Kluyveromyces lactis: one gene and its partners. The protein of the gene in region 5 binds, or shares a complex with, the protein of the main gene of each other region. Links are inferred from orthologs where the notes say so. Each region holds a gene or a part of one and is shown on either strand. Other genes may lie near its edges. The genes, in order: PAP1, CFT1, SSU72, SWD2, FIP1, YSH1 and YTH1.

Region 1 (3,630 bases), on a different chromosome or scaffold from region 5:
ACTTGCCTGTTGAATCAACAGCGGCTGAACCAGATGATACTGTTCGGGTATCGGTAACGTCTTGTTTTCTCGGATTTTATCAGTGTCTAACTGGCTAACCTTCTATCTCTTGTGGTTTTCCTTTGACTCTTTTTGTCCGCATCTGTCAATTATGTATCAAGATAAGGCACATAGCTGACTAAAAATAAGTACCAGTTAAACATATTTGATGATAGAACAAAAATATTCAGATTAGAGATGGTAGGTTTATGCAAAACAATGGGGTATGTGGCGGACAGCTTCACTATTATAGTAATGATCTGTTCTTTTCTGTGATATGAGACGTTTTTTTTTTTTTACTTAGTTTATCTAGTGGGAAAGTTGAGTTTATGTGTCGCGTTCAATGTAGAGAAACTTTTGTTAATGACTGGGGCTAAGGCTTGAGGGGAGACTCACGTTGCCTTGGCCATGATGCATTATGCGAACCCTGAAGAGGTAGTATGAACGGATCGTAAGACTTTCTATGTTGTCGCAGTCATTGGGTCTTCGGTGATAGCATTGGTATTACTGTTTGCTGGGACATTTGATGATGGAGTGGAATTAGCGTCATTTACTGGGGAAGAAGAATTGGTGTTGCCACTGGTAGTAGTAGTAGACTTGCCATTGGACGGATCGGATTTAGGTCTTTTACTCTTTTCACCACTTTTCTCCGGTTTCCTCTTCTTGCTGGATTTCACAGGACGTGTTTCCCCCTCTTGGTAGACTTCATCCGGTAAGTCATGCACTTTCACATACTTGATGATTAAAGAATACGTTTCAGGGTCCTCATAGTCGGGTAATGAGCGACACAAATTGAAAAATTCTTGACATGGAATGTGTATATCAATTTTTTTACTCTCTTCTGTGTTGATGTCAAGTCCAATAAACATCGTGGCTATGTGAACTTGATTAGAGTTTTTGGAGGCTTCATCGTCTTTGTTTGCATCAGTTATTTTTGTAAACTTTTTCAATACACCTTCTGTCTTATGTGTACCGTAGTTGTTCATGATCTCTTTATATTCATCCTCATTATTGTATATATAGCTGGACTCGTATGGTTCAATAAATGGATGCGCCAGATTGATTCCTGGTAAAACTTCTAGTTTTTGGACCAACAATCTGAGCTTACTTTCAACGAATCCACTCCATTTCAAGTGTTGTTCGTCGGAACCCTTTGTTGAGACCATAACCGTTAGGTAGAATTTATACTTGAAGAAGAAATCGTGTTTCTTGAACAAATCTTCCCATGATAGTTCATTAGAGAAAATCTTTTGTGTGACCTCTACACCTCTTTGTAATTCAGATAAGATCACTTTCTTAGTTGACTCACTGATGTTGTGGGTAGCACACATTGAAGGGTACGCTGGTGTAATCACAGGCATCTTGTGGGATCTATCCTGTGCATATATTTTGGGGTTCCACACGCGGACCTGTAAAGGACCATCTTCGATTGGCTTCAATAGGACAGGTTGTGGCCATTTCCAACGTGATAAAATCTGAAAGAATTTTGATATTATTACCGCACTGCATGCATTAGGGTACAATTGGCAGATTCTTACCACAAACATCGCCCATGCGACACCACCGGGGAACCCAAAGACGTTTGCATATACTGCTCTTCTCTTTGCCCATATCTTAATAGCTCTTAATGCAATCTTGAAAGATGTTTTATTAGGCACTAATTCTAAAATTTCATCGGTGACTCTGGTACCGTTCAACGCTCTTAGATCCTTTTCATCAACGTTCCTTAACAAATTCTTATCACTTAAAGTTAAACTTATTGGAACCTGGGGTAAATCTAGTTTAGCAAAGATTAAATCGATGGAGATTCCATTGAATTTGATCTTGATAATTGGGACGAAAGCATCTGGAACTGACGCAATTTCTTCAAGTTCTGGTCTTTCCCTCAACAGAGCATCGAATACGGTAAAGAAATCTTCTCTGGATACATGTTTAGGTACCACAATCAACGTATCAATATCGGAACCTGGACCATGGACCCCTAATCTATAAGAACCAAAGGTAAATACTTTACCACCAGCATCACGAGCCATACCATCGGACATGTTTTTCTTCTTTGAAACCTGATATACAAACTCTTGTGTCAATTTTTGGAAGATTTCTAATACTGCCACTCTCTTCCCAGTTTCTTCCTCCGTTTCGAAAGAGCCTTCTTTCTTAAGCTGTTGAATTAATGAATCGTTTAATGCGTTTTCGGCAGCAGTGGGACCCTCCGTGGAAATCGGGCCCGTTACACCAAAGATCTTTTTCTGGGACATTGTATTGGGATAATATTTGTTTCTGTAATCTGGTATATTTCTATTCCTTGCTCTATCCAGATAATCACTTCCCCCGGTATTTAAAAGGCTGTCCGCGGATTGTCTTCTTGGAATGTAGTTCTGAAACTTCTTTGAGATTGGAGACGATGTTGGTGAGTTAGCCGGTGAATAATAAACGTAATGTAGCCCTGGCTGATTGAAATATTGTTGCTGATGCTGCTGTCTTTGATTATAATGGTGGTGATGTTGCAAATGATGCTGATATGTGTTTCGGCTTGTATTGAGATTTAAATGCCGGTTTCTTTGTCTGGAGGGAGATGATCCTACACTATCAGATTCTGAACTTTTTCCCCCTTCCTCTTCTTCTTCTATTAGCCCTACTGCACCTAGTACTACCTCAGAAGTGATATCACAACCGGAAACCTTGAGCCCTGCAAGATCCGAGCTTATTGAATTCAACTGGTCGCCAATCACCGTCCTTGAATTATCGTAAGTGTCCTTGAAAACCTGTGCGTCTTGTACTGAAGTCGACAACCTGAATGAGTTTTGACTTGCTACGTCTTCCTAGATCAGAAAGAACCGTCAAAAGTACTCCTCACAAGTTAATTCGTGATGAGGATAATCAAATAAGTGTCGGATGTGTATAATCTCCGAGAGTTAATACACCAAAGTTCCAATGCAAAGGCTTTTTTCAGTATTTGTGAGTCTGACACTAACTTCTTTTGTTGTTGTTGTTGTTGGTAACAGGTGACCAATATCAAAAGATGTGCTCGTCACTAATTTGAACTAAAAACGTAACTAGCACAAACTATCCAGTTATATTCAGATAGAGAGAGACTGTGTGTATATGTGTGTAGACAAAAAAATCAGCCAGTTAATATTGTATTGTCTGAGAATTCCGTTTCCCTTTATTTCTTTCCTTTACCAATTCTGTCTCAGGAGTGTCCAGCGAATGAAAGAATTAAGAAGTTCAATTTGAAGGTACTGGCAAGTTTGGACCAAAGGGATATGTAGTGTTGGTTTTAACTTTAGCTTCTCCTGTTCACACACTCAAACCAAATAAAAGGTATAGTAAGTTCAAAAGTTCACACTTTGTTATATTATTTCATTTTGTACTAAATTTTTAAAGCCAGAAAAATTCAAAATCGATTTCAAGACCCAGGAAAAATCAATAATTACGTGAAAGACCCCAATCATAAGAATGAGCGAGCTTGAATTTGCAAATTGTATGTTCAATTTCCTGTAAATCTTATCCAACAATAATTCAATTGGAAGTATATGCATATATATAAACGAAAATCCAGATATGGAAGAATCAAGATATTTGATGATT
Region 2 (4,210 bases), on a different chromosome or scaffold from region 5:
CCCTGACTCCCAATTTTATATCTATACATTCATGTTCATGGAAGCTCCCTTGGACTTCAATAACGCCTGCAGGTAACAAACCAGCTTTGTTTTTCCTCGTTAACGCTTCGTATGCACCAATGTCTATAATTACAGCGCCTTGACTGACGAGTCCATGAAGCATCCAGAATTGTCTGTTCTTCAAGTGATGATGATTACTATTGGCAATAAACCTAGTATGAAGAGGAACATGATTATTAACTAAACTTTGCATCTCAGTGAGTTGTAGGTCAGCCAAATCTTGTGTAAGTTCATTCACGCCATCGTCCCTTTCCTGCATGTAGAGAACAATTTTGGAAATGTTTTCTGGAGTGTCGCTCTTCATAATGATGGTATGGACACCAGCATTGGTTGCTAATTCTGCCGCAATAAGCTTAGTCTTCATACCACCAGTTCCAACATCTGATCCAGATCCACCGTCTGTGTTCACACCTGGCAATCCTTGTGATATATCTGGAACAACCAAGATAGGTTTTGCATCGGGATTTGCTCTTGGATTATCAGTGTATAAACAGTCAACATCTGTCAATAAAAATAGATAATCAGCACCAGTCAACGCTGCTGTGATAGCTGATAATGTATCATTATCACCAAATTTGATTTCGCTCACAGATAAAGTGTCATTCTCATTAACGATTGGCACTACTCCCATGGAAAGTAATTCACTAATAGTATTCTGTGCATTCTTATACTGAGTCCAATCAACAATGTCATTTCGAGTAATTAGGATTTGAGCAATTCTCTGATCAAATTCAGAGAACAAGGAATCCCACCTCCCAATTAATCTGCCTTGGCCCACAGCTGCGATTGCTTGCACCTTGGATAGTTTCTTTGGCCTTCCCTTCATATTCATCGTTTTCAATCCGACGGCGATACCTCCACTAGATACAATGATAACTTTGTGTCCTCTTCTGCGTAACTTTACCACAGTCTCCACAATCAATGACATGATAGAAAGTTTTGGTTCTTTGGTCTCTTCATCAACTAGTGATGAAGATCCCAATTTTATGACTATGACGAACTGCTTTACCATCTGAACTTGTTGGAAAACGTTCTTCTTCTCGCGGTCCGTAGAAACCTTTGGTTACAGAAATTTCAGGCCAGATTGACTAATAGCTGCTGCTCACAGACAGTACACTATGTTTATATCTGTTTTGCAGATGCAGTTATTCATCTTTTCAAATGGTCTGCAGATGTCATCGAAACATTTACTTTCAGTTTCTGTGAATTTTTAAATATTCACCGGTTCTTCAAAATATAGGTAACTATCATTACTAAGAACACTGGAAACAGACGAGCGTAGGTGGGCATACTAGCACTCTTCAGTCACACCTGAATCTGAAACGTTTAAATATCGGGGATAGATAATAAATGAACGTTTTTGACGAGATATTGCAACCCACTGTGGTTAATAAATGCTTACATGGGAATTTTACGTCAGCGGAAAGGGAAGAATACGTTGTTGCAAGAACCAATGTTCTCTCTGTATTCAGGGTCTCGCGAGCACAAAAGCTTGTACTTGCATATGAATGGAAACTAGCAGGTAAAATCATAGATATGCAATTACTGCCCCAAATTGGATCGCCTCTTAAGATGCTTGCAATACTTTCGTCGAAATCCAAAGTATCGTTGGTAAGGTTTGACCCAGTGGCAGAGAGTCTTGAAACACTAAGTCTGCATTATTATCACGACAAATTTGTCAATTTAAGCACTTCTTCTTTGAAGACGGAGTCCATTATGGCAGTGGATCCATTGTTTAGATGTCTTCTGGTTTTTAATGAAGATGTTTTAGCTATATTGCCATTGAAACTGAACACAGAAGATATGGAAATTGATGAGGATGAGAACGGAATAAAAGAGCCAATGGCTAAACGCTTAAAAAGGAACCAAGGAATCACATCCGATAGTATAATAATGCCAATTTCTAGCCTTCACAAGAGTCTCAAGCATGTCTATGATATAAAATGGTTAAATAATTTCAGCAAGCCAACTGTGGGAATATTATATCAACCGGTACTTGCGTGGTGTGGAAATGAAAAAGTACTTGGAAATACTATGAGGTACATGGTTTTGAGTTTAGATGTCGAAGATGAAAAAACCACCGTGATTGCTGAGCTTGCAGATCTTCCGAACGACCTGCACACCTTGGTTCCACTGAAGAGGGGATATGTGTTGATTGGTGTCAATGAATTATTATATATCAGTGCATCTGGTGCACTACAATCGTGCATACGATTGAACACATTTGCAACGTCTTCAATCAATACAAGGATAACTGATAATTCTGACATGAATATCTTTCTATCAAAGAGTTCAATATATTTCTATAAAGCTTTGAAAAGACATGATTTGCTTATTTTGATAGATGAAAACTGCAGGATGTACAACATTATTACAGAATCAGAGGGTAATCTACTTACCAAATTTGACTGTGTACAAGTACCGATTGTTAACGAGATCTTCAAAAATTCAAGATTGCCGTTGTCGGTATGTGGTGATCTCAACTTAGAAACTGGCAGAGTTCTTATAGGTTTTCTCTCAGGTGATGCAATGTTTCTGCAACTTAAAAACTTGAAAGTGGCATTTGCAGCAAAACGACAACTTGTTGAAACTGTTGATGACGATGACGATGAATACAGTGCACTTTATGGAGAGTCTCAAAATAATACTCACACCAGAATCGTCGAAACACAAGAGCCTTTCGATATATCATTGTTGGACTCCATTTTCAATATCGGTCCTCTAACATCTCTTACTATTGGTAAGGTCGCATCTGTTGAACCAACTATTCAGAGACTTCCCAATCCTAACAAAGATGAATTCTCAATTGTAGCTACATCTGGAGTTGGGAGGGGATCTCACCTCACTGCATTGCATTCCACTGTCCAGCCCCACATAGAACAAGCCTTAAAATTCACAAGTGCGACCCGTATCTGGAATTTGAAAATAAAGGGAAAAGACAAGTATCTTGTGACTACAGACGCTGATAAAGAGAAAAGTGATGTATATCAGATTGATAGAAATTTTGAACCTTTTAGGGCGCAAGATTTTAGAAAAGACAGCAGAACCATCGGCATGGAAACTATGGACGACGATAAACGTATTTTACAGGTAACTTCAGGAGGATTATATCTATTTGATGTTGACTTTAAGAGGTTAGCAAGATTAACTATTGATATCGAAATTGTTCATGCGTGTATTATTGATCCATATATTCTATTCACGGATGCTAGAGGTAACATCAAAATTTATCAACTAGACTCTAAAAATAAAAAAAAATTCATCAAATTTAAGCTTCCAGAGGCTCTCAATGAAATTATCATCACATCTGGTTCCATTTTCAAGAGTAACATTTGCAACAAATTCCTACATGGATTGGAAAACTCTTCACAAGAACAGCTTCTCTTCACATTTGTAACGGGCGACAATCAGGTTATTTTCTTTACCGAAAAGCACAATGACAGGATATTTCAGTTAAATGGTGTCGATCAGCTAGAAGACATGCTTTTTATAAGTACGTATCAGATTCCTGAAGAAATGAACCCGGACCCATCAATAAAGCAAATCATGTTAAACAGATTGGGCCATCATAAGAAAGAAGAATTTCTAACTATTCTTACGTTTGGTGGGGAGATCTATCAGTACAAGAAGTCGACAAAGCACAGCGGTAAACTCTTAAAATGTAAATCCCATCCTCTAATTACCGGTGCTCCTAACAATGCATACCCTCAAGGAGTTAATAAAATAGAAAGGGTTGCTCATTACTTCCCTAACTACAATGGATATTCAGTAGTATTTATTACTGGTCAAGTACCATATATCATAATCAAAGAAGATAATTCGGTATGTCGGATATTCCGGATGACTAATATACCTATTGTCACAATGGCTAGGTGGGGTAAAAACTCTGTGATGTGCGTAGATAATATTAAAAATGCAAGAGTAATGAAATTAGATCCTGAATGTTATTATGGGAATACTCAGATTCTTAGAAAAATCATTATTGAAGATGTTGTTGAGGAATTTGAAACTTTAGGAAATATTGCGTACCATGAACGGACCGGAATGTATATCATCTCCTATACCAAATTCATCGAATATCAAGCTCTAAGTGAAGATGGTGAGCCCCTTGTAGGTTACGATCCAAGCAAACCAAATAGTACTGGGTATA
Region 3 (2,334 bases), on a different chromosome or scaffold from region 5:
GCCAAGCGCAACAGCCAGAAGCATAAAAACATTGATTGAAGGGTTTCCCCTTTGTGGAATTAAGAATTGTATAATTTCAACTCAGTCGGCAGATATATACGAAGATGAGGTCACAAGAATTTTTCATAAGGATAGGGATGCTAATTTACTTCTGCTGTTTGCTGTCAGGTTGGGTGTTGACAAAATCAACAGCTTATACTGGAAAGACATATTCAAGATTCTCTCATCACCATATTCTGTCGGGATCGCAGGCGGTAAACCCTCGTCATCATTATACTTTTTTGGATATCAAAATGAAAATCTTTTCTACCTTGATCCACACAACACTCAGCAATCTTCTTTAATGATGGATGATCTTGAATTTTACCGAAGTTGTCACGGACACAAATTCAACAAATTGCATATATCAGAAACAGATCCGTCAATGTTACTCGGTATGTTAATTTCAGGTAAGAATGAATGGGATCAGTTTCATACTTATTTCAGAGATAGTCAAATTATTCAATTTTTGACAACCAGGCCAGAAAATGATTTATATCAAAGTGCCAATATGTCTGTCGGTTCTGATTCTATTCACTCATTGGAGTCAGACATACAGGACACTGGAGAATACGTTGATGTTGGAACATTAGTTTCTGGCAAACAAATGTCCTCCCCGCAACCAAAAGATGAAGAATTTGAAGATGTTAAATGCAAAAGCCAGCGAATAATCGTCTGCGAAGATCCAGCTGATCCTGAAGTTGAACAAGTTCTTGTCGAGGATTCATCCTCCTGCTGACTGCTGTATCTTCCTCATTCTTTGTTTAAGATATTATATTAAATATTAGTATCATTATATAATATGGATCCTTCGGCTGTCAAGCACCTAATTCAGCCACAAATAAGGACAGGCTTTGGTAATCGGGTGTAACGGAAGTGACCTTGAACTTATACTAATTACCAATCTATAATTCTATTAAGATTATTACAAGCGTCGCATTTCCGGGTAATATTATTATCTAGCTGCACATTGATAAAATTGACTTTGTTAAGAGCTTCAATGAAAGTTACAAGATATTCATAATTGGTAACCGAAATGGTAGACAGCCCATACTTGCATTTCATATTCAATTATTATAACTCTCATTTTCATACAGTGTTGTCTGCTTAGTGCTACCAGAATAGATAATTTGACTAAAAGTTATTACGAATCTAAGAGGAACTATTAGGCATGAGCGAATCAATGAGAAATAGCGGGCTTAAGTTCTGTACTGTGTGTGCATCTAACAACAACAGGTCCATGGAGTCCCATAGGGTATTGGAAGAGGCAGGGTATGATGTTTCTAGTTACGGTACTGGAAGTGCAGTTAGACTTCCAGGTCTCTCGATAGATAAACCAAATGTGTATTCATTTGGTACGCCTTATGATGATATATATAATGACTTGATTTCTCAAAGTGAAGATAGATACAAGCAAAATGGTGTATTAGAAATGTTAGATCGTAACAGGAAGTTAAAAAAAGCTCCTGAGAAATGGCACGATGGGAGAAAGGTTTTTGATTTCGTTTTTACCTGTGAAGAAAGGTGTTTCGACTCTGTGTGCGAGGACCTGATGAATAGAGGTGGTCAGCTTAATCTAATTGCACATATTATCAATATCGATATCAAAGATGATAATGAAAACGCTAAAATTGGTGGGCGAGCAATATTAAGATTGGCAGATATGCTAAGAGATAAAGTTTTTGAATGTGAGAAAAACGGAACTCAATTTGAGGATTTTATAATGGATGTCTTCACTGAATGGCAAGAGAAATATCCAAAACTACCACTAACTTATTCTGCTGCATATTATTAGTTCTATTTCATCTTGAGTTATATATCATGCTATTCTTGTTTTGCATACTTATTTCGATGGAATTGTAAGCTAACGATTAGTTAAAGATTTTGATGGCACAATTTTCCACGGACCCAAACACTTTTAACATTCCTATCATCACCATTAAATAACCATTTTGCCACAATATTCTCCAGTTTGATTCTATCCTTCCCGTTCGGTTGAATTTTGTCGTTGGTAACTTTTTGCCATGGAAAAATGGATACGTTGCTTCCTTTGGTGGATAAATCTATCAATTGTGCGTCAAACTCTTTCCCTACGTCGAAACTACCAATTTTATCAGACAGATTTAAAACTTTAGCACCACCCATGGTAGCTAGATACAATACTTCGGCGACAGATAGTTTGCATTCCTCTTTTCTTTCAGGATCTTCTACTGACATTGCTCGATGTCTGGAAACTAGTAAAGCTTGCCTAGCATTTTCCAAAATACTGACTGTAAAACCACCGGAAACATCAGA
Region 4 (2,900 bases), about 1.1 Mb from region 5:
GGAAGTTTGGTAGGCATTAAGTATTGGTTCTTGCCCTGAATTGTGTTCATTTTGTTGCTTGTTCTGTTTACTTCCCTTCTCCTTTTCGATCTCTTTTAGGGTTTTATCAATGCCAATAGGTCGCAAACTTGAGTAGCCAAGAGATCTTATCAGCAATAGTGTCGATTTATCTAGAATGTTAATGGTATTGGAATCAGACACATCTCCGTCATTATTGGCAATTAAAGGTTTCTCACTATGGCAAGTATACGCCGCAAGAGGAATCAATCTCTTCCCAGGCTTGATCCGTCTCTTGGTATCTTTATCAATGTTCCAACTCACCGGTTTCCCTTTTCTGCTTGTCTTGCTTTGCAGAAGCTCTTTTCGTAGATTGTTTATCAAAGGAATGTTATTGAAATCGGATGGTGCAGAAGGTTGTCTGAAGGCATCAAGGCCATACATAAACTCTCCAAGCCCCATATCTTACTTGTAAAGCCTACTGTCTCCAAAAATATTTTGTGAACAGCCTCTTAATGTCTGTTATTGCCATTGACACAGTGGTGTTTAACAGGACACAAGTAAATCATGATTTAAAGGTTTTATTTTAAAAGAAATAGAAAAAGCATCAACAAAAATAAGGAGAGCTGTACTACTCACCAATTACCAGTAGTTAAACGCCGGCGTCTTGATGGCATTCACTCCAGTTATCTTATATTTGATATGAATTGATAGAAGACACTAAAAAGAACTGAATATTATATATTAGTATGTATGTTTGAATAAACGTTATTGGTGTAACTACAGGTTACGCTTTCTTTCCATATGATCCAAGAACTTGTCAAAAGGAGTCTGTTTCCTAAAATAAGCACTTCTTTCAGCCATGTTAGCCAACTTATCGAATAAGTATTCTCCCCAGTCAAGATACCGTTTAATATAATTCTTCAAGTCAGACATTTCATAAGCGACAACATAATTGTTACTTCTACGCAATCCAGCCAATACCATAGACAACAACGCTAAGTCAATACTGTAATGAACTATATCTTTAACCTGATTGGAATTTGATAAATGCAGTTAAGATTACCTTTTAGTTAGTAAATCAAAGTCCGTTGATGAAAACGGTGGTGTATCTAACCACCTTCTTCAAAAAAATGAACGGTACGTACACCCATGATTCTTATTACAAATCTCAAATATGTCAGTTCTTTATAAAGCCAGAGTAAGACCAGAAAGGCTCTATTTCTCTACCTGCAAGTGACTAACACTATTGATTTCTTTGACAGATGTCATTACAATTTCGAGGAACATTTAAATTTAAATAAAACTGTTAACACCATCAAGAAATATTACCAATTTGGAGACAAAAAGAGAAGCTCAACGGGACACCAGCGGTTTAGCAACAGTTCTGTGATTATCTAAAAGTTAGCTGAGAAAGGAAATATGACTGTTAGCATTTCCAAGAGCAATCTTCTACGATTTGAGCCTGTGAAGTCCTTCAGAGTTTCTGATAAAGAATTGGGACCTATAACTTCAGTGACATTTGATGACCATGGCCAGTACTTGTTGACTGCAACTGCTAGTGATAATATGCATCTATATGATGCAGTAAGTTGCAGGTTTTTGAATACCATCGCTTCTAAAAAATACGGATGTCATTCCGCAAAGTTTACACATGCGCAATCAGAATGTATCTATTCATCCACTATGAAATCGTTTGACATAAGGCATTTGAATCTTGAAACAAACACATACCTTAGATATTTCCAGGGCCATGGTGCTCTAGTGAGCGATATACAAATGTCCCCGTTGGATGATACTTTTTTGTCTGCATCGTATGACGAATCGGTAAGACTTTGGGATTTGAGAAGCTCCAAGGCACAGGCCCTTATACCAAGTTTAGTCCCCACATGCATTGCTTACGATCCAAGCGGGCTTGTGTTCGCCATTGGTAACCCTGAGAACCATGAAGTCGGTTTATATAACGTAAAACATTTGAAGGCGGGCCCATTTTTAGTTATAAATGTGGATCCAAGCTTTGATCAGTGGAATAAATTGGAGTTTTCAAACGATGGTAAATATTTGTTGCTTGCGTCGTCCGCTGGAAAACATTTGATCATGGATTCCTTCGATGGTACACAGTTATTTGAATTATCAGGAACTAAACCTTTCCCATTGAGAGAGTTCATGGATTCTGGATCCGCAACGTTCACTCCAGATGGACGCATTACATTGGGAACTGATTACACTGGGAAGATCGCGATATGGAACCACGCAGACTTCATCAGTGGTAGGACGCTCAAACCTCAAGGATTTATTAACGCCGCACCAAATACATGTCCCAGAACTATTGCATTCAATCCTAAATATAGCATGTTTGTCACTGCAGATGAAACTGTAGATTTCTACGTATATAACGAATGAATTATACTGGGATCTGGATATATGACTTCGAAGCCAGACTCTACCCAGAGCACCCATCTATTTAGGAATGGCACTCGACATCTCGATAACATTTCCATGTTACCGATGACACAAAGCTGCCTTTTAGGTCTGGTCATCGCGACATTTAATCTTCTTTCATCTTTCAAGAACCCAACCTCGAAATTCTCGTTACTTCTTACTAAAGATAGGATGATGCACTCCTTTTCTCTACCTTGAAATCCGTCTACGGTAGATATCTCAATTGCTTGATGCTTTTCATGGATGAGTTTTTTCAACAGCGATACTTGTGAATTATACGGGGAGATCACACCAATACTTTCTTCCGTAACACCAGCCTTTATCAACTGCTCAACGTGGTATAATGCCAAATATGCTTCATTTTCGTTGTATTTTGAAGAGACTAGGTGGAACTTATCGTCTGCATCGTTGTCATTTTCATCAGACCTTTCTGGAAAGTCGTCTCCCTCAGTATCTAACCA
Region 5 (2,789 bases):
AAGCATGTTATCAGTCGACACGATTTACAGCCAAGGTCCATCCATATGCCGTCGATGATCCATACTCAGCCTGTCCATTTGATTCACGTTCACAATTTGAAATTTTTACAGACGAGTTTTGAAGAAGAAGATGAACAGAGAATTATTTGTTCTTCTTCTACACCACCTTCACTGGCTGACACAAGACACAGTTCTGTTTTCTCTTCTACAAGAAGTATCAACGTGTTACTGGAAGAAGACGAGCAAGATTTGGACAATGACTTGCAGTGCATGGCTCCAGTGAAGAAAAAACAGCAACGTGCATTGGTGGCACCCATCATGTTCTCCTCTTCATCTTCAAAGAAAGATTCGGTCGTTTCGGAAAAGGATCAGTTTGTTTACACGCTAACTAACAAGTTACTACCTTATTTTGGGTATTTCTTGGCTGATTCTAACGATTTGGATTATTTCGATAAGATTAGATTCCAAGAAATTGATTACAAGTTCTCCAAGACGTATTTTTGATGGAACAATCCTCATCCTTTTATCCAGATATTATTTTTCCCCCTTTGCTATAGACTGCCTGTATGATACACCTGCATATTTTTTTCCTTCTTCATCATATTTCTTACATTCATTCCTTTCTAATTCTCTACTTCATTTCAAATTACCTTCCATTTTTTTTTTTACTTTGTTTCTGTGGGTGCGGACACAAGGTGACCATGTTTAGTCAACCTTACAGGTCCCATAAACACTTCAAAAAAGAACATTCACTTCTCAATTGCAGTTTACAATCGACTTTTTTGAACATTCATTCTCAACAATGTCTGACTCTTTTCAACACATTAAAGACACTCACTCGCCTGTAATGTTTGTTTCCTCTGTTGTTTTCTGTCAATTTTTTTAATTAATTCACACTTTTACTCTGAAAAAACAGGACAAAGTATTATGCTTCGTCAATAAGATGCACTTTTTTCTTTGGTTTCCCTTGTTACTTTTCCATATCTTTAATTCTTACCATCGCATATTCTTTCAAGTTCGTTAACATCGGAAATCGATACTGTCCGCAACATGCACATCTAATTCTTCTGTAAATCATGTATTCTCATTAGCTACACATTTAACCCATATTATACATTCCGTCCAAACAAGCTGAGTCGCTGTCCGCTGTCCGGTGACAGATATTCATTAGAAATGTTTGTCATTGAATACGACAATAATTTACCCGGATATGCGTCGATTTAACAGCATCATTTTGGTAAATCTTAGCATTGAGAGTTAACTATTAGTTGATTTCTATATGAGAAGAAGAACTATCTTCCTGTTAAGATACCTTTTGGGTTGCGCAGCCTTCCAAACTTTCCAAGCATTTATTGATAAATCTTCTACCAGTCCACGAACGACATATAGAAACGAATCGTTATGAGCAGTGAGGATGAAGACGATAAGTTTCTATACAGCGATGAGGAGGATTCTAACGTAGTCGCAAAGCAAGAGGGTCCTGCATTGAAAAGACAAAAGGTCGAAGAAACACCCAAGATACTAGCTCATGATGTACCGGAAGGTAATACGAATGAGGTAGAGAGTGAGGCCTCCAATCAGGATAGTTCATCAGATGAGGATGACAGCAGTGACTCAGATTCAGATGTTGAGATTATCATCGGAACTGGTAACGATACCTCTAAGATAGATTCTGGTAAGTCCCAGATATCTGCTATAACAGACACAACGCCTCTTGGTACAGCGGATCATGCTATTGCAGCAGTGGCTGGTATATCGGACGTGGTTCCTGTACAGGAGGGTTCAATACCACCTGAACAGCAGCAGCAGCAACAACAAACTATTGATTTGAACCCGGATGCACAATTCGATGGGAAACCTATAGTACAGATCGATCCAGAAATTCTAAAGGAGAAGCCCTGGAGACAACCAGGAGCGAATATTTCAGATTATTTCAATTATGGATTTAATGAACAGACTTGGATGGAATATTTACATAGACAAGAACATTTGACGAAAGAATACAACCCACAAAAGATTTTGATGAACCTCCTAGCTTTACAGCAGCAAGGAAAGTTAAATGATCCAGGTTCAGGACAACCTGTACAGAATACAATCCAACCTCCTCCTCCGCCTATGGGACTTCCCCCCATGTTTGGTGGTTTCCCAGGATTTCCATTTCCGGGTATGATGAATAACATGCAAAATCAAAATGTATCAAGCATGAACAACATGAACAACATGAACAACATGAACAACATGAACAACATTAACAACAACAACAATAATAATCTCAACGACAAGAAATGAAATTTAGTGCTTGAGGCTCGTATTGATTGCAAGCAACATTAATGATATATAGCGGACATGTACATGTATTTTCGATTCCTTGATGGAATTGTAACACAGCTTAGTTTTAAAGACCTCATGTTGACATTTGTTATAATTAGAGAAATGACATTAATATACTATACTTCAAAAAAAATGGCAAAGACAAACTATATATCTGAATACTATAACAGTTTAAAAAGTAATGTTGTATTGTTCGTTTTCAAAAACTCTTTTGATCCATGGTTGATGGAATTTATTCAGTTCAACAACGCTGGTCAAAATTTCAACCCATTGTTGTTTTAAAAGATTAGAATCAGCGTTAAAATTTATAACTTCATCATTTGCAAAAAGGAGTTTGAAGCAATCGCTGAAAAGTACCATATCAGTAAAGTTTCTCATTTGTTTTCCAGTTGCCGTTTTACCATCAGAGTATATATCTACTACGTTTAGAAGATTCAACAAAGTTTGTGGTTTTCTGG
Region 6 (4,013 bases), on a different chromosome or scaffold from region 5:
ATAATCTTCAATAATGGTACCCATACGATGATCAACAACATCTCCACATGGACCAACGACTCGGTTTTGGATTTGATGAACAGTAATCATTACGTAGATCCACTGAATGGAGGCAACAATATGGGCAACCTAAACGGATCTTTACAATCATCAGCGACAACAAATGATCAAAAGACTTTTGTCATGCCCAATCGAGACAACAATCCTGGCACTCTGAATAACTCCCTGAATTGGAGAAACTCTTCATTTACCAACATGAATATGAACTTCAATCAACCAGATAATCAGCAAGGTCAAAGACCACCGCAACAGCAACAACAACAGCAATTGGAAGCTATGTTGTCAGTTCCCGTTGAAGAATTTTGGACCGTTAACGACGATTATGGATTCCTCACTTGAAGCCTTCAATTCAAACGTTGAACACCTCTACAGAGGATATTCCCCGTAATTAAAGAAAAAAATACAACCATTTTTCATACTAAGTGTTAATGTCTTATGTTTCCGTCATTCCACAACATTTCGTTTTCATTCTACTCTTTCCTTTTAATTCAAAGAGTATTCACTCGTTTTTAGTTGTAATATATATCTAGCAAAAAAATTTGTGTTTACATACATTCTGCAGTTTAATTCGTTTCATTCCATTTTACCAACACACTTGCAGTAATTTAGCCAGATGTGACCTGATCCAAGTAAATAAATCTAGTCACGTGACCTATCCTGTTCCCTTTACCCTTTGTTTCATTCTGATATATTGTCGATCAGAAATTCTACATATTATTATTTCAACATCTACATAGTAAGGGAAAACAATCAGTTTAAGATAGGTGTTAGAACCCGACAAGCAGCAAGATTCTCACTAGAAACAGTACGTAACGACATTTGTTATCAAGATGTGTTCTCAAATCATCTTAGGTTGCCTTCAGCCCTCTCTTTACTAACTTTTCGTTATCAATATCTACCTCTACTCCCTCTGTACACCAATATGCTATTTCCTAGTTTCTCACTTTTTTCTCACTTTTTTCTGTAAGACATTAAAACCAGTTAACGTTTATTGAAAATCTTAGCAATTCAACATAAAGAAGAGTGTCCTGTCCAATGGTTACCGAGCAACCTCTGTTGGTATTCGGGCACTCATAACAGATATCGGGGGGCTCAAGCAGACAGTAACTTTTGACGTGTTTGTGAGAGCATTTTGTCTGTCCTTTGCATTGTCAAGAAATGACTCAATTGGAAAATGAGGTTCCAGACAAGGACCATCTTCGCTTTTTCTCACTAGGAGGATCCAATGAAGTGGGGAGATCGTGTCATATACTTCAGTATAAGGGCAAGACTCTAATGTTAGATGCAGGTATCCATCCGGCCCATCAAGGTTTAGCTTCATTGCCCTATTACGATGAATTCGATCTCTCCACAATCGATCTTCTTTTAATCTCACATTTTCATCTTGACCACGCGGCATCATTGCCTTATGTGATGCAACGAACGAATTTTCGTGGTAGAGTATTCATGACACATCCGACCAAAGCTATATATCGTTGGCTTTTGAATGATTTCGTCAAGGTGACCAGCATAGGAGACAGTCCAGGACAGGATTCAAGTAATGATAATTTATACTCTGATGAGGACTTGGCTGAGTCCTTTGATAGGATAGAAACTATTGACTATCATTCCACTATGGAGGTAAATGGTATTAAATTTACAGCGTTCCATGCAGGTCATGTTCTTGGAGCAGCGATGTTTCAAATTGAAATCGCTGGTGTTCGTGTATTATTTACTGGTGATTATTCAAGAGAAGTGGACCGTCACCTTAACTCTGCTGAGGTACCACCTCAGTCTTCGGACGTCATAATTGTGGAAAGTACATTTGGTACCGCTACTCACGAACCAAGACAAAACAGGGAAAGAAAGTTGACCCAGTTAATACATACCGTGGTATCTAAGGGAGGACGTGTTCTTTTACCGGTGTTTGCCCTTGGAAGAGCTCAAGAAATCATGCTTATATTAGACGAATATTGGCAGAATCACAAAGAAGAACTCGGAAACGGGCAAGTACCTATCTTTTACGCATCAAATCTTGCTAAGAAATGTATGAGTGTCTTTCAGACATATGTTAATATGATGAATGACGATATTCGTAAAAAATTCAAAGATTCTCAAACAAATCCATTCATCTTCAAGAATATTTCTTACCTCAAGAATTTGGATGAATTCGAGGATTTTGGTCCCAGTGTCATGTTAGCATCCCCAGGTATGTTGCAAAACGGTCTATCTAGAGACATTTTAGAAAAATGGTGTCCAGAAGAAAAAAATCTGGTTCTTGTCACTGGTTATTCTGTAGAAGGTACAATGGCAAAATATTTGTTACTAGAACCTGAGGCTATTCCCTCGGTACACAACCCTGAGATAACTATCCCAAGACGTTGCCAAGTGGATGAAATAACATTCGCTGCTCATGTTGACTTTAGGGAAAATTTAGAATTTATCGAGCTAATTGGAGCTAGCAACATCATTTTAGTTCATGGCGAATCCAACCCAATGGGTCGTTTAAAATCAGCCCTTCTTTCTAATTTCAGCTCTCTCAAGGATACTGAAAACGAGGTTCATGTTTTCAATCCTAGAAATTGTGTCTTTGTTGATATTGAGTTCAAGGATGTTAAGGTTGCCAGGGCAGTTGGGAAAATTATTGAAGATCTCGATGAGTTTATAACTGAAGAAGACGCACTAAAGAATGAGAAAAGAATCACGGAAATCCATGAAGAGGATCCAGAAACAGAGGAAAGTAAAACGGAAATTGTCAAAGAAGAAAATGAGAAAATAGTTTCAGGTATATTGGTGTCAGATGAGAAGAATTTTGATCTAAGTTTAGTTTCGCTTTCAGATTTAAGAGAACATTATCAACAATTATCTACTACAGTTTTGACAGAAAGACAGACAGTCCACTTGGACTGTAAAAGCGAACTAGTATATTGGCATATCTGCCAAATGTTTGGTGACGTAGATGTATACATTGACGAAGAAAACGTCTCATTGAAGAACATCAATCCCGAATTCAAGACGAGGAAGATAAAGAAGGGTGAACTAGAAATAAAAATCATGGGAGATGTAATATTAAATATAGTTGACAATGTAGCTACATTGCAATGGACTCAGAATGTTATCAGTGATTCAGTCGCGGATAGTGTCATGGCAATTCTACTGAGTGTCGAGAGCGCTCCAGCAAGTATCAAAATGAGTTCGAAGTCATGTGGACATCATCATGGACACGATGATCACACGACTAAAATTAAGAACATATCGAGAGTTTTCAAGGAACAGTTTGGTGATACTTTTACATTATTTTTGAATGAGGAAGACTCCAAAGAAGAAATAAAAGGCACTATCAACTTAGGAAAAACAACAGCATGTATAAACTTCTCAAAAATGGTTGTGGAAGAATGTAACTCTAATCCATTGAAAGGTAGAATAGAGAGTTTATTAAAAATTGGCTCCGACTTGGTGGCCCCATTGTGTTAATCTGTCTCATATATAGATATGATTATATATGAGCTAGTCATTAATCATCTTTTTGCATTAACTATATACTTTTCAACCCTATACTGCCATCTTGCCAAGGTGTTCCTCTGTACTAAATAATCTATTAAAACTTTAAAGATGCATTCAAGTTTCAATTAACTGAATGAACATATCGTTTTCGACAAGTTACAAAAGACACCAAGAGGACAAAAAACCATTTACTAAACTACTAAACGCGATATATATATATATATTCTCATTATAACAGTAAATTTTAAATCAATCTACCAATACCATGGCAAAATCAGAGCTACAGTGAGGTATTTCATTCACATTGCCAATCCAGAAGAGACAAGATAACTCAATCACGTGACTCATAAATCCTTTTGCCTGTGTAGTTTCTTTTTGCACCTCAAGAAAATTTTTGGGAAGCTCATCTCATCTCATCCAGAGTCTGAACGTACAAGAGCTGTAAAACAGGCTAAATGGGTCTCAACTAT
Region 7 (2,312 bases), on a different chromosome or scaffold from region 5:
TATCAGTAAACGACAAATGATTTCCAACCCAAATAGGAGGCCTTAATTTACATATAAAATAGTAATAAAGGTACTACTTGACTGATAACTTGCCGCTTATCACTTTCTAACTGACAATTCTATATATTCTTTTTTATAATGACTGTCACCCAAATCCTATTCTTTTCAGCATGTTGGGTTTTGTATGATTCTTAAATTTCAACATCGGTTGAAAAAAAAGGGTCGCAGGCTCCATCGTCAGTATGGCTATATAAAGAAATATTGAGAAGTACGTGCAAATTGCTATTGAGTTAAGAAAACGACAATTCGTAGACAAAATCACTGTTTATAATTTAATCTTTCGATAACGAAGAAATTCGGTTAGAAATCAGTCTCATTTAGTTCAACTCAGAATTGTGTTTTATATCCTCGAGTGAAGACAGACCAATCGACATAATAGGTAAAGAATTAGGAAAGATGTTCAGAACAGCAGCAAGAAACCTTGGCGTGCCATTAAGAAGAAGTGTTTATGTTGGATTCAGCGGTAGTTTATTAGTCGGTGGTGGATCGTTGTTGCACTCGATGCAACCAAGCTCATATATCATGAACGATTCAATTGTTGATGTTAAGCAAAGAACGAATCTACCACAAGAGCTTGGATTGCCAAGCCGTGTTGATATAAGTTCGAAGCAAAGAAGAGTCAACTACAGACAAATGTGCTACGGGTCAATTTTAGGTCTAGTGTTCGGTGTTATCTTTGGTAAGATATCAAGTCTTCTCGTGTTCATCACCGGGGTTGGATTCGTTGGGTTACAATTCTTGCAGAACAGGGGAGTTATCAGCAGTGACAGCACTCGTTCTCTTTCCAAATACGTTGTGACCATCGGCCGTGAGAGGATTGATTTGAACACATTGATCTGGGACAAACCCAGCTTCAAAGTCTCATTCATCTTGACATTTGTGCTAGCTGCACTTAACGTCTGATTGGTTCCGAGAACGCTACCTTATTCAGTTCACGTGACTTTTTCTCATGTGAAAACCCAGAATATCCTATAACGTTATATTTAAGAATTAGTAAAATAATTATTGTGTGTAACTCGCTTGTAACATGATTAATTACCAATCATCAAAGACATTTTCATAAACGACTGGTAGGCTACATTAGACTGGGTTGTCAAGGAGATAAGGGAGTTTAAACTAATGAGTATAGTTCATCCAGATACCTCGAAGTACGAGTTTAATTTCGAGCCATTTCTACGGAAAGAATATTCGTTCTCGTTAGATCCAGATAGACCGGTATGCCAATACTATAATTCAAGAGAGGGGATAAAATCCTGTCCCAACGGAGCACGCTGTCCAAACAAGCATGTGCTACCGATATTTCAGAACAAGATTGTTTGTAAGCACTGGCTCCGAGGTCTCTGCAAGAAGAACGATCAATGTGAATATTTACACGAGTATAACCTAAGAAAGATGCCCGAGTGTGTATTCTTCACCAAGAACGGGTACTGTACACAATCACCGGAGTGTCAATACTTGCACGTAGATCACAAGAGTCAGTTAGAAGAATGTGAGGATTATAATATGGGGTTCTGTCCATCGGGACCTGCATGCACGAAGAAACATGTCAAAAAGGTACTTTGCCCCAGATACTTGGTAGGGTTTTGTCCACTGGGTAAAGATTGCGACTGGTCGCATCCCAAATTCAAAGTACCTTCAGAACACAGCAAACTGCGCATCAAGAAAGACGAGCATATTAATACAAGAAAGATGGATGAGGAAAGGGAAAGACGCTTGAATGCCATTATCAACGGTGACATCCTAGTCACGTGACTGAATTTTTTCAGTTTTCATCAGTGCGTTCGTTCTCAGCCACTGCTGCTGTCACTATTCACTATTCAGCTCACCATACGTAATTCGATACAGATACAGATACTAAGTAACATAATACTACACAATGTTACAGCCGGATAATTCTATCAACCGACAGCAAAAGCAACACACCTGAAAAATTAAGGGAACCAAGGCTCACATACCTTAAATTGCTTATCCAATAGGTATCAGACCTCTCAGCCAAAATCATTCGCTGAGTTTCATTTATGGACACGCGGTCGACATATTCCCCAGTATAGAACACTCCATTCCACAGTTTCTTTCGGTTTCTTTTTTTTCTTGCAATACTGATAAGCATTAACCCTGAGAGCGGACGCATGAATGTACACCAGGCAACAGCGTGAGTTCTTGAAGTCAGTTTTCTAATACACCTATAACTGGCACTAGCCAGCTACTGGGATGGCAGTCTCGCATCACAGCAAGGCTGTCGACCGGTACCT

The links.
Region 1: the proteins of FIP1 (region 5) and PAP1 are in contact, whole or in part, in a crystal structure (PDB 3C66), measured with the Saccharomyces cerevisiae proteins. The link is inferred for Kluyveromyces lactis from reciprocal best matches to the Saccharomyces cerevisiae genes FIP1 and PAP1. Residues at the interface, in NP_012626.1 of Saccharomyces cerevisiae: Leu81, Glu82, Val83, Ile84, Ile85, Ser86, Leu87, Thr92, Arg93, Leu94, Asp95, Ala96, Lys97, Leu99; in NP_012927.3 of Saccharomyces cerevisiae: Phe360, Leu362, Gln425, Asp426, Tyr428, Phe470, Lys478, Val479, Asp480, Ile481, His482, Cys485, Thr486, Val489, Asn490, His502, Asn506, Leu507, Ala508, Leu509, Arg510, Phe511.
Region 2: FIP1 (region 5) and CFT1 share a complex: the UniProt entries of both Saccharomyces cerevisiae proteins name them as parts of the cleavage and polyadenylation factor (CPF) complex. The link is inferred for Kluyveromyces lactis from reciprocal best matches to the Saccharomyces cerevisiae genes FIP1 and CFT1.
Region 3: FIP1 (region 5) and SSU72 share a complex: the UniProt entries of both Saccharomyces cerevisiae proteins name them as parts of the cleavage and polyadenylation factor (CPF) complex. The link is inferred for Kluyveromyces lactis from reciprocal best matches to the Saccharomyces cerevisiae genes FIP1 and SSU72.
Region 4: FIP1 (region 5) and SWD2 share a complex: the UniProt entries of both Saccharomyces cerevisiae proteins name them as parts of the cleavage and polyadenylation factor (CPF) complex. The link is inferred for Kluyveromyces lactis from reciprocal best matches to the Saccharomyces cerevisiae genes FIP1 and SWD2.
Region 6: FIP1 (region 5) and YSH1 share a complex: the UniProt entries of both Saccharomyces cerevisiae proteins name them as parts of the cleavage and polyadenylation factor (CPF) complex. The link is inferred for Kluyveromyces lactis from reciprocal best matches to the Saccharomyces cerevisiae genes FIP1 and YSH1.
Region 7: FIP1 (region 5) and YTH1 share a complex: the UniProt entries of both Saccharomyces cerevisiae proteins name them as parts of the cleavage and polyadenylation factor (CPF) complex. The link is inferred for Kluyveromyces lactis from reciprocal best matches to the Saccharomyces cerevisiae genes FIP1 and YTH1.

What each region holds. Positions count from the first base shown.
Region 1 is NC_006038.1:1,161,642-1,165,271, forward strand, and holds PAP1 (polynucleotide adenylyltransferase PAP1), read right to left. Parts: upstream 2,298-3,630; coding exon 501-2,297; downstream 1-500. UniProt on the Saccharomyces cerevisiae protein: Polymerase component of the cleavage and polyadenylation factor (CPF) complex, which plays a key role in polyadenylation-dependent pre-mRNA 3'-end formation and cooperates with cleavage factors including the CFIA complex and NAB4/CFIB.
Region 2 is NC_006039.1:880,506-884,715, reverse strand, and holds the start of CFT1 (cleavage/polyadenylation factor CFT1), read left to right. Parts: upstream 1-1,410; coding exon 1,411-4,210. Other genes in the region: PRO1 (glutamate 5-kinase), read right to left, coding at 1-1,072. UniProt on the Saccharomyces cerevisiae protein: RNA-binding component of the cleavage and polyadenylation factor (CPF) complex, which plays a key role in polyadenylation-dependent pre-mRNA 3'-end formation and cooperates with cleavage factors including the CFIA complex and NAB4/CFIB.
Region 3 is NC_006040.1:1,644,774-1,647,107, reverse strand, and holds SSU72 (RNA polymerase II subunit A C-terminal domain phosphatase), read left to right. Parts: upstream 1-1,210; coding exon 1,211-1,834; downstream 1,835-2,334. Other genes in the region: cysteine protease ATG4, read left to right, coding at 1-778; GUD1 (guanine deaminase), read right to left, coding at 1,915-2,334. UniProt on the Saccharomyces cerevisiae protein: Component of the cleavage and polyadenylation factor (CPF) complex, which plays a key role in polyadenylation-dependent pre-mRNA 3'-end formation and cooperates with cleavage factors including the CFIA complex and NAB4/CFIB.
Region 4 is NC_006041.1:1,606,952-1,609,851, forward strand, and holds SWD2 (WD-repeat containing protein SWD2), read left to right. Parts: upstream 1-1,419; coding exon 1,420-2,400; downstream 2,401-2,900. Other genes in the region: MND2 (Mnd2p), read right to left, coding at 1-459; MCO12 (Mco12p), read right to left, coding at 778-1,029, 1,146-1,151; ATP-dependent 5'-3' DNA helicase HCS1, read right to left, coding at 2,382-2,900. UniProt on the Saccharomyces cerevisiae protein: The COMPASS (Set1C) complex specifically mono-, di- and trimethylates histone H3 to form H3K4me1/2/3, which subsequently plays a role in telomere length maintenance and transcription elongation regulation. Involved in mediating RNA polymerase II termination.
Region 5 is NC_006041.1:534,354-537,142, forward strand, and holds FIP1 (cleavage polyadenylation factor subunit FIP1), read left to right. Parts: upstream 1-1,401; coding exon 1,402-2,289; downstream 2,290-2,789. Other genes in the region: transcription factor IME1, read left to right, coding at 1-504; BUD4 (Bud4p), read right to left, coding at 2,503-2,789. UniProt on the Saccharomyces cerevisiae protein: Polymerase-regulating component of the cleavage and polyadenylation factor (CPF) complex, which plays a key role in polyadenylation-dependent pre-mRNA 3'-end formation and cooperates with cleavage factors including the CFIA complex and NAB4/CFIB.
Region 6 is NC_006039.1:419,091-423,103, reverse strand, and holds YSH1 (cleavage polyadenylation factor subunit YSH1), read left to right. Parts: upstream 1-1,218; coding exon 1,219-3,513; downstream 3,514-4,013. Other genes in the region: KLLA0_C04620g (uncharacterized protein), read left to right, coding at 1-399. UniProt on the Saccharomyces cerevisiae protein: Component of the cleavage and polyadenylation factor (CPF) complex, which plays a key role in polyadenylation-dependent pre-mRNA 3'-end formation and cooperates with cleavage factors including the CFIA complex and NAB4/CFIB. Has endonuclease activity.
Region 7 is NC_006042.1:760,786-763,097, forward strand, and holds YTH1 (cleavage polyadenylation factor RNA-binding subunit YTH1), read left to right. Parts: upstream 1-1,179; coding exon 1,180-1,812; downstream 1,813-2,312. Other genes in the region: FUN14 (Fun14p), read left to right, coding at 457-963. UniProt on the Saccharomyces cerevisiae protein: RNA-binding component of the cleavage and polyadenylation factor (CPF) complex, which plays a key role in polyadenylation-dependent pre-mRNA 3'-end formation and cooperates with cleavage factors including the CFIA complex and NAB4/CFIB.